2 linked regions of the Xenopus tropicalis genome follow. The protein of the gene in region 2 interacts with the protein of the main gene of each other region in a biochemical or structural test. Links are inferred from orthologs where the notes say so. Each region holds a gene or a part of one and is shown on either strand. Other genes may lie near its edges.

What was found.
Region 1: the proteins of bmpr1a (region 2) and bmp4 form a complex in vitro, tested with the Homo sapiens proteins (3 studies listed by BioGRID and IntAct, with this or other methods). The link is inferred for Xenopus tropicalis from reciprocal best matches to the Homo sapiens genes BMPR1A and BMP4.

What each region holds. Positions count from the first base shown.
Region 1 is NC_030684.2:94,978,820-94,983,352, forward strand, and holds the start of bmp4 (bone morphogenetic protein 4 precursor), read right to left. Parts: upstream 3,075-4,533; 5' UTR 2,926-3,074; exon of another isoform or gene 2,678-2,925; intron 2,164-2,677; 5' UTR 2,157-2,163; coding exon 1,796-2,156; intron 1-1,795.
Region 2 is NC_030683.2:49,285,466-49,290,027, reverse strand, and holds the start of bmpr1a (bone morphogenetic protein receptor type-1A), read right to left. Parts: upstream 3,104-4,562; 5' UTR 2,894-3,103; intron 1-2,893. UniProt on the Homo sapiens protein: On ligand binding, forms a receptor complex consisting of two type II and two type I transmembrane serine/threonine kinases.

The sequences.
Region 1 (4,533 bases), on a different chromosome or scaffold from region 2:
GATCAGGAGAACTCATAAAACAACTCATAAAACTTCAGAATAGTCCTATAAAATAAATTTAGCAGATATATCCATTTTTTGTCGTATTGTGATATAACCAATAAAATGTATCAGTCATAAAGTATTACCTTATAAGGCTTCTGTTTAATAGTTGTAGCTAAGGACTTACTGATTTTTAGCATCAAATAGCTAAGAACTGGAGCAGTATCAGATGACCATTAAAAAAAACATGCACTGACAAAATGTCAGGTTTCACCATTCCACTGAAGAGAAGTTCTTTTTTTAATTACTACAATTAGATGGTCTAATGTAAGACCAACCCAACTGGTCTGATCCTCGCAGTAGGATTAGGCAAGACCTGTAGGACATGTTTAAGAGATTACCGCTTTATTAAAGGAAATGTATCTGAGGCCTTAACTTGCTGCATATTTAGCTAGTTGGTATAATGCATCCAACAAACTGCAGAACATGTCTATGAGTCATGGATTTTAGAATGATGGGTCACACTCCTAGCGTAACCCTCTATAGCAGAACCAGGCAGGAACATAAAAAAAAATCTAGTACATCTCAAAACAGCAAGTTAGTAAGGGAGGTTCCCAAGAGTCTACTGTCTTGCAAGTCTTAACTGCTTATAGACCACACCAGGACAGGTTTATGGCTATGGCGCTGGACACCTTTACTTCTAAAATAATTTACCCTGTACCTCCAAATGCCACAGTCTAGTATATGGTTAGGGATAAGGCTCCCTTTACTAATTTTGCAGGAAACTGAACAACAGAAAACAATTTACAAACTAAAATAACTAAAAGGATGTTACACTATGTAAGTACTGACTCACACCTTACGGCAGCTTTAAGAAAAGGTCTGGGCAGGTGTTTCAAATGCTAATAAGCGTGCCTTTGTTTTGGCTGTTACAATGCACTACTCTGTGTTAGTTTGTTTAGGCATATGCATATTTAGCATGTAAATGCAAGAATGTATAATGAATAGGCTGGTCCTCCTTGCAGTGTAAGCTACCAAGAACAATTAGGGATAATTAGATATGCGTATGTGAAGTACATTCTTGTTATATATGTGATCAAAGAACCAAATTATATGTGTCTGATAAAAAGTGAATCAAGTCTCATTATTAGAAATAAATCAAATATTACTTGGAGTTGGCCAAAGTAGAAAGCAACAAGGGAGAGTAAAGGAATTGCAGGTCCCTGGCTGTCATATTGGGGTACTGTATCAATGTAGAGGTGATACCTCAGCAAGGATATATGAAGATGCTTTGGATCTACAATGGCATAATTCAGAATATAATGATATTGCGAATAGATTGGTGTCACATGAGGATACTTATCCATGAATAAAAGGGGTACTCTCTAGGTTACTCAGACATAATACATGGAAAAGGAGGAACTTGTTATACTATATACTCAAAGAATACAATTGCTGCACTTCCTTACACATATCAGAGGAATAAATCAATGTAAAAACTGTGTTAATCCGGATGAGAATAAGATGGGGATCTTGGGGTATTCCAAGCAGTTTGGGAAGGTTAACCCCCCAAAAACACTTGCAGAACATAGCTAGCTTATTCGTTTTCCATAGACAGAGCAGTAAAGTAATGGGGTCCCCACAGATGAGAGGAGTACTCTGTGTGGGAGAGAAATCGCTGTGCTGCTTCTGCCATACCCTAGCGGTAGGTAGCTGGGGCTGCTCTGGAGAAGGGGGGAAAGGGCGGATGGTACAGTCCGTCATTTTTCAAACTTTGCCTATCCGGGGCCGAAAAGGGATTGTAACTACTCACCCTCATGATGGAAGCTCCTCACGGTGTTAGCCCGGCTGGTCGGTCTCTCCGGGTACTCCATGCTGATATCGTGTAGTTCATCCTCCTCCTCCGCTGACTGAAGCCTGTACAGGTCCCGCATATACGCGGGCACCACCACATCCTTACTGGGCTGCGGCCGCTTGCGGAGGCCGAACATCTGCAGCAGCGTCACCTCGAAATCCCGCAAGAGCTCATTGCTCTGAGCGGACCTTCTACCTCCCTGAATCTCGGCCACTACTTTCTTCTTGCCCGTCTCAGGTATCAGGCTGGCATGGTTAGTGCCTCCTAGCAGGACTTGGCATAATAAAATGACCATCAGCATTCGGTTACCAGGAATCATGGTGTCTCTGGAGGGTGCAGAACAAAAATACATGCAAATAAATAGGGAGGATCTGTAGGGGATTAGACTCAAATCAAGTGATAGAGCGGGATCAAAGCAAATAATAGGACAAGGACAGTTCCACTGAGCCACCCGGGGCAGGGCGAGAGGGGGGGTGCCTGGGGTTTCTTGGGCTATAACTTGTTCCCAGTCACATCCCTCATTATCAGATAGTCACCGCCATCCTGTTGCTAATCTGACTGTGAGCGTCTCCCGGGCTCCAGACAATTAGCACCAGTCTGACTCCTAGCACGATCAGCAGCTATAGAATTGCCCCTGCCATTTGCCCTTTTGCAACAAGTGCCAGCGCTCCGGGCAGCTGGATCATGTGTTCTGCAACCCGATAGCCCGCGATGTGTCGGCGCTACAGCTGTGATACATGCCGCTATCAGTCCCCCTCCGGCACAAGCGCACGTAACGCTCGGCTATCCAGCTGCTAAAGAACTACAACACTCCGACCCCCCCACCCCAGTTCAGCGAACCTGGCCAAAGAATGTTGGTACTTGTAGTTCTCCAACACCTGGAGCGCAGAAGACTGACTTGCCGTTCTAGATGTGTAGCACACTTCTGTCCTAGAGCGCTGCGGGGGGGCTCAACATTGTCTCAGGTCCTGCCATAGCCTCAGCAGTAAGTACCCAGAGCCGTGGGGTTCCTATGCAGGAGGGCAGCTACGGGCAAAGTACACAAGGGGGGAGATGAAAAATACAGAATGAACAGAAAGTCTACTCACTGACAGAAAACAAGGCATAGAAAAACAGTCCATGATTCTTGACTGCCAATCTTGGACAGAAATTTGTGGAAAAGCTCAGTGGGACTCGGGACGCAGTTTGCAGATGGAGATGATACTATGGAACTGGTTCCTAAAATGAATATTGGAATATAATGAGAGCGCAGCCAGCAGGACTCTTCTTTTACTCCCAGCCCCTTTTGCGGATCACGTGGGGGGCAAATCACTCCGGGAAGCCGTCAATCAAGGCAGCGGCCGGCCCACCCCGCGGCCTATATTAGGGGAGGGCTCAGCCCAGACTGTCCGAGCAAACTTGTGTGCGTGTGGTACCGCTAGCAACGGCTCGCCTTTCTACTTGGCTCCGTGTGCCGGGCTCATCTTTCCTTATGCTCTAATCTCGTGTTAATGAAATTGCCATCAATGTACAGGGAGCCGGACTGTGCTTGTAACAAAAACATGACTGTCCTACGCTTTACCTCAGCCACGAACAATTGCTTGTCTCGCTGCCTGTGTCATGGGGCAATCGGAGGCGTTCATGTGAAACGCCTGACATTTTGCTGTACTTGACTAAAGAAGGCTGTCATTTTAATAGCCCTGCTAAGCCTGCTCATCCAAGAAAGCGTTAAAAGGCCATTGGGACTATAAATGAATCGATAGACTCGTGGTGTAGTGCAAGGGCGCACCTTCCTCACCTCAGGCTATTTCTGTGTGAAAGACTTATTACATATCCCGCTAATTCTCACAGGAATACCTCAACCCAATAACCTAGACTACCCCCCACCCACCTCACCCACCACAAACTCAGTCATCCCCGAGAATATCTGCCCCTGTTCACTATACTTGTCACTGCAACAATCGCGTCTGTAAACTCGATTTCCTCCCAACACCTTACTCATTTTTACCAGCCTACGCTCCGCCATGTCCTTCATTTATAATGTGCAAAAATCATTTCTAGGACTCCAGCCTATCTTTACTATTATCATCGAGCAATAAGTTTGGTTACCAACCGTACTGGGGATGTTTGGTTCAGAAGGAAGGGGGGAGGTGTTCTCAGAATGGAGGGCAACCAGCTATTTATTCTAAATACAACTATATTTACCTTCCCCTGCAAAAAGAAGGTATTGTTAACATTGTGAAACGATTTGCACCTTGATTTGTAATCAGTGTTAAATTTAACATACAGTAGTGTAGCTTTGTGGGGGTGGAAGTCTTTGGCACCTGTGGGGAGACAATCAGCTACTGGGAACACATTGTTGTCTGGCTGTACCAGTTCATGTCACTTTACAGAATTTTATACCATCATATTTCACATTATCAGGTGTGGTTAAACCGAATTTACTGATCATTTGTGTTAAAATACCAGCAGAATTAGTAAAGCACAGTGACTTATTGCCAGTGATAAGGAAATTTAAAATAATGTTTTTAACATGTATACTGTATCCTCCAGTGAATGCATTTGCTTTGACCAAAACTCTTAAGCCTAGTGTATACAGTAGTTTTATCTGTAAGGCTCTTTTTATTCACTGTAAAAGTGTAAAAAGTAATCATAACCCATGCCAAAGTCATTTATGGCAGCATAAAAAAGCAATATGCACTTTGCATTTTAAGGCA
Region 2 (4,562 bases):
CATTATTATTCTATTTGCTTACACTAGCAGATAAGATACTGAATCGGGCTAAAGCTGGCCATACACGCACCGATACTATCGTACGAAACCTATTCGGTGCGTGTATGGCATGTCGGCAAGTCGACCGATATCGCAGGAAGCTGCTGATATCGGACGACTCGCCGATCGGCCAGGTTAGAAAATTTTGATTGGGCGCCATAGAAGGCGCCTGACCAAAATCTGCCGTCAGGGCTGAATCGGCAGAAGGAGGTAGAAATCCTATTGTTTCTACCTCCTTATCTGCTGTTTCAGACCTGACTGTGTGTGGCGGATCTGACGATGTGACATCGTTAGATCGCCACGTGTATGGCCAGCTTAAGAGATTGGTCGCATCGCAACAAATCTGTTGTTAAAGATATACACATACTTTTTAATGTATATATTGGACAGTGGCTTAGCATTGGGGATGCACAGAATCCAGGATTCGGTCTGGACTTTTTGTCACCTACACACGGAAGCTGAACATTTTTCACCGCACATGGAGCGTGTGGTACACTTTAACCCTTTCTAGTCCTAATTTGCGGTTCGGTATTCGGCCAAATCTTTCACAAAGGATTCAGAGTTCAGCCGGATCCTAAAACAGTGGATTTGGTGCATCCCTATTTAGCATTATATATTCTCCTCTTATGGACAAAGTTTTTGGGAGAAACACCCGATTAAATTAAAAGAAACGTCATAGCGTATTAGGTTATTATTATTACTACATTTATAAAGCACCAACATATGTTGCAGTGCTGTACATACAGTTACTCGTCTACCCAATATTTAAGGAGTATTATGAATGTAAGTAACTTTAAAAGAAAGCTGCAGCGATGCCAGGTACAGGTATTGGACCTATTATCCAGAATGCTTAGGACCAAGGGTATACCAGATAAGGGGTCATTCCGTAATTTAGATCTTCATACCTTAAGGGGCAGAATTATCAATGTAGGAGTTTGAATCCCGAAATGGGCAAAATTTGGATCAAATACGATAATTTCTGATGATCGGAAATGTCACGAAAAAAATCATAATAAGCAGGATAATATCGTAATGTCGTTACGAAAGTCACGAAAATTTTGTATCCGAACGATCATAAATGGCGGGAAAACTGACTGATTCTTCAGTGCATGTTTTTGGAAGCCTCCCATAGAACTCAATGGCACTCTGCAGCTCCAACCTGGCCCAAGGAAAGTAACGATAACGAAGCTTTAATGAATCCAAAACTTTAGTACTCAACGCAACAAATACAAGTTTGTCGAGCAAATTGTCGCACAGTACAAAAGTTGCAAAACAATGCGCACAGTACGAAAACTTAGAAAAAATACCATTTTTTTTGTATTTAGAAACAATCGTACTTTGATGAATGTGCCCCTTAGTCTACTAAAAAAAAAAATCAATAAAACATTAATTAAACCCAATAGGATTACATTGCACCCAGTAAGGATTAATTATATTTTAGTTGGGATCAAATACATAGCAGTTATTTTTACAGAGAAAAAGGAAATCAAGCTGAATTATTTGATTAAAATGGAGTCTATGGGAGACAGGTTGTCCGTAATTCGGAGCTTTCTGGATATCAGGTTTCCAGATAAGGGATCCCTTACCTGTACATGTTTTTAACATCCACACATAATGTGTTAACGTTTTCTGAAAAATTAACAATGTCACACAATTGCTATCACTTTCCATCATTTAATTCTAAATATTTGAAGTGGTCTACTTTTTTTTTTGGTTTAAACCTAACTTAACTGCTATCTGACTATACCATATTAAATGTACTGTAAAACAGTACAGAGGAATCCAAACCAATGAATATTCTACACAAATATAGAAAGCATGCAAGAGATGATGCCAAAACACAACCATACTGGAAAAGTTCAACATTGTTGCTCGAGACCCTAAGAATACACTCCACCAAAATATGTATATTTTTTTTTTTCCAAATAATTTTTTTTTTCATTTTCAATTATATGAATAGGGGTTACAGAATTGAGAGGTAGCGAAAATATGTAAATCGAAACAGACTTCTCATTTTGTGATCGATCTTACTATGAAATGCCATTTTGCTTATTACACTGTTAAAGTTTGCAAGAGATGTTTCAACAAAATATGTGCATATATTCAAAATTTTAATGCAAAATTACCAAAAGCAATAAATTAGAACATATTCAAAATATAAACGACTTTAGAAACAAAACATTTTCCAACATGAGTAACAAGACTAAAACATATATTAAACTTGTGGATCATCAGCTGGGCTAAACTACAACTCCCGACATTCCAGTAAAGGGCCAGACATAACAACATGAGAGGGAGTGGGGTTTTGCAATGGCAGAGCCTCTACCCCTCAAGCTGATAAGTTGTGGTTAAACAACACCTGGAGGGCCCTATCTTACATTGCACAAACATGAAGAAAGGTGAGTAAAGAGTAAATAGAATCGACACATGGGGAAGAACAAGATGGTGGAGAAACTGCAAATAAAAACTAAACAAACGCCCAGAGGTGACCAAAGGTAATGAAGAGCTCAGATTTGAGCTTACAACCTTACAACATTCAAAGCGAAGTTAAAATGTATTTCATTAAGGACTGCGCTAAAATGTGTGTAAAACTGGAGTGGAATCACTGCAATAAAGCACCCATACTACAACGACAAAATCTACAGCTCAGCCATGGCCCTCAGCTCCCAGCATCCTGCGACAGCCAGGCAATAGTTTCCTTACACCACAAGCAATAAGATAACAAATGGAAGTCTACAACTAGCCCGCCTCCCCCCTTATAGCCTATACACATACACGCAGCCCCGCATAGCAAAAGTACAGAAACCTTTTATATAAGCACACACCGAATTTTCTCCCACTCCTGCTTACTCACCAAAACTCCAGGGCTCCTATCTGTCGCCTAGCCGAATCCCGATAAAATCCCGTCACCCTACTGCGTAAATCGCCGCCAGCCGCTTTCCCCGAGTTCTCACACCTCCCCGTGCGCGTACACAAGCCCCATGCACGGCGCCGCCACCGCCACGCCACACAGCAGCAGCAGCGCTGGGATACGCACGCCTTCGCGTCACTTCACGCTGTCTTGGGAAATTAACCTTGTCTGCGCCGTCTAGACTAAAAGTGCTAAGAGGTGGCAAGACGTTTTCCTTTTAACACTGGTATTTAGTAATATCTAATGTTTTTTACAGCTCTTGGCGGACCAAGGTTGCACTGTTGTAGATACAGGTGACCTGGAGGGAGCCACAATTCTTACTGGCTAGAAATGTAATAGGACATAGATGTTCTCATGCATCAGTGGTTCTCAACCTTCCTAATGCTGCCACCCTTTAATACAGTTCCTCATGTTGTGGTGACCCCCCAACCATAAAATTATTCCTAAAACCATCGGAAATATGTGTTTTCCAGGCGACCCCAAAGGGGTCCTGACCCACAGGTTGAGCACCGCTGGCACACATGGTTCATTTTGTGGTTTAACGTGGCTTTATCTGCATCGTGTGATGCTTTTTAGCTCATGTTCACCTTCTTGCTCTAAACGTGATGGTTGATGCAAAGTATTCATTTTTGTGGAGTAGTTTCTGGTGGATTCAAAGGTAGGAGGTTCTAAGACTGATGGGCCACGGAGCGAGTTAGTCGCCTGAGATAGATATTTGCTACCACAGGTGACAGACTGTTCCGGAATACTTTTCTCCTGGAAACAATAGGTGAAAAAGGCCTACCTACGCGGAATGCACTGGGAAATTTACCCCCCCCGATACCTGGAAGTGATGTTATGAACGTCATGCACACTTCCAGATGTGACGTCATGCACATGCGCAAAATTGCAGCTGAAGACAAATAATTCTACTTGTGCATGCGCAAATGCATTAAATGACATCACTAAACGCTTACTGCACATGCACGCCCGAAATTCACCACTGGACTTCATGAGACTTCAGAAAAATCGAGAGAATGCTGCTGGGGGTGGGAGAATTGGGTAGAGCCTTCAAAACAGGTAACTCCCGAAATGGGGGGTCGACAGCTCCGGCCTATGAATCGTTTCAGCTTTGAAGTCAAGCCTGCCAGAGGAAATGTTAGTTAGACTCCTAACTTCTAACATTAGATTCCCTCTAATGATTCTAATCACTTACCTGATAAACCCAGCAAGTACAAAAAATGGCACCTTCCTAGGATACTTCTGAGGGAGCACCACAATGCAATATTCTTCCTTATTCTTGGCAGATGTGCATGATCAGTGGAGTGAAAAGCCGACTTTTAAGCAAAAAAACACCTTTTTCACTCTTCAGCACAGGTGTCAGCCCAGGGCCATTAAAGAACAAAAAAATTGATCCATGGTTCTCGCTTAGGTCCCCTGGGTCGGTGCCGTTTTCTGCTAAAAGGCGCGCCAGACTAAGGTATCAGGTAAGTGATTGTAATCACTGGAGAGTGTTCAACATTTCGTTCCCGCATGAATTCGTCCCTTAAGCAGCACTTAATCATAGGCACAAAATACTTGAGGTCTTATTAGATTTAAAGGAGAAGGAAAGGCTAATAAATAGTTAATTTCA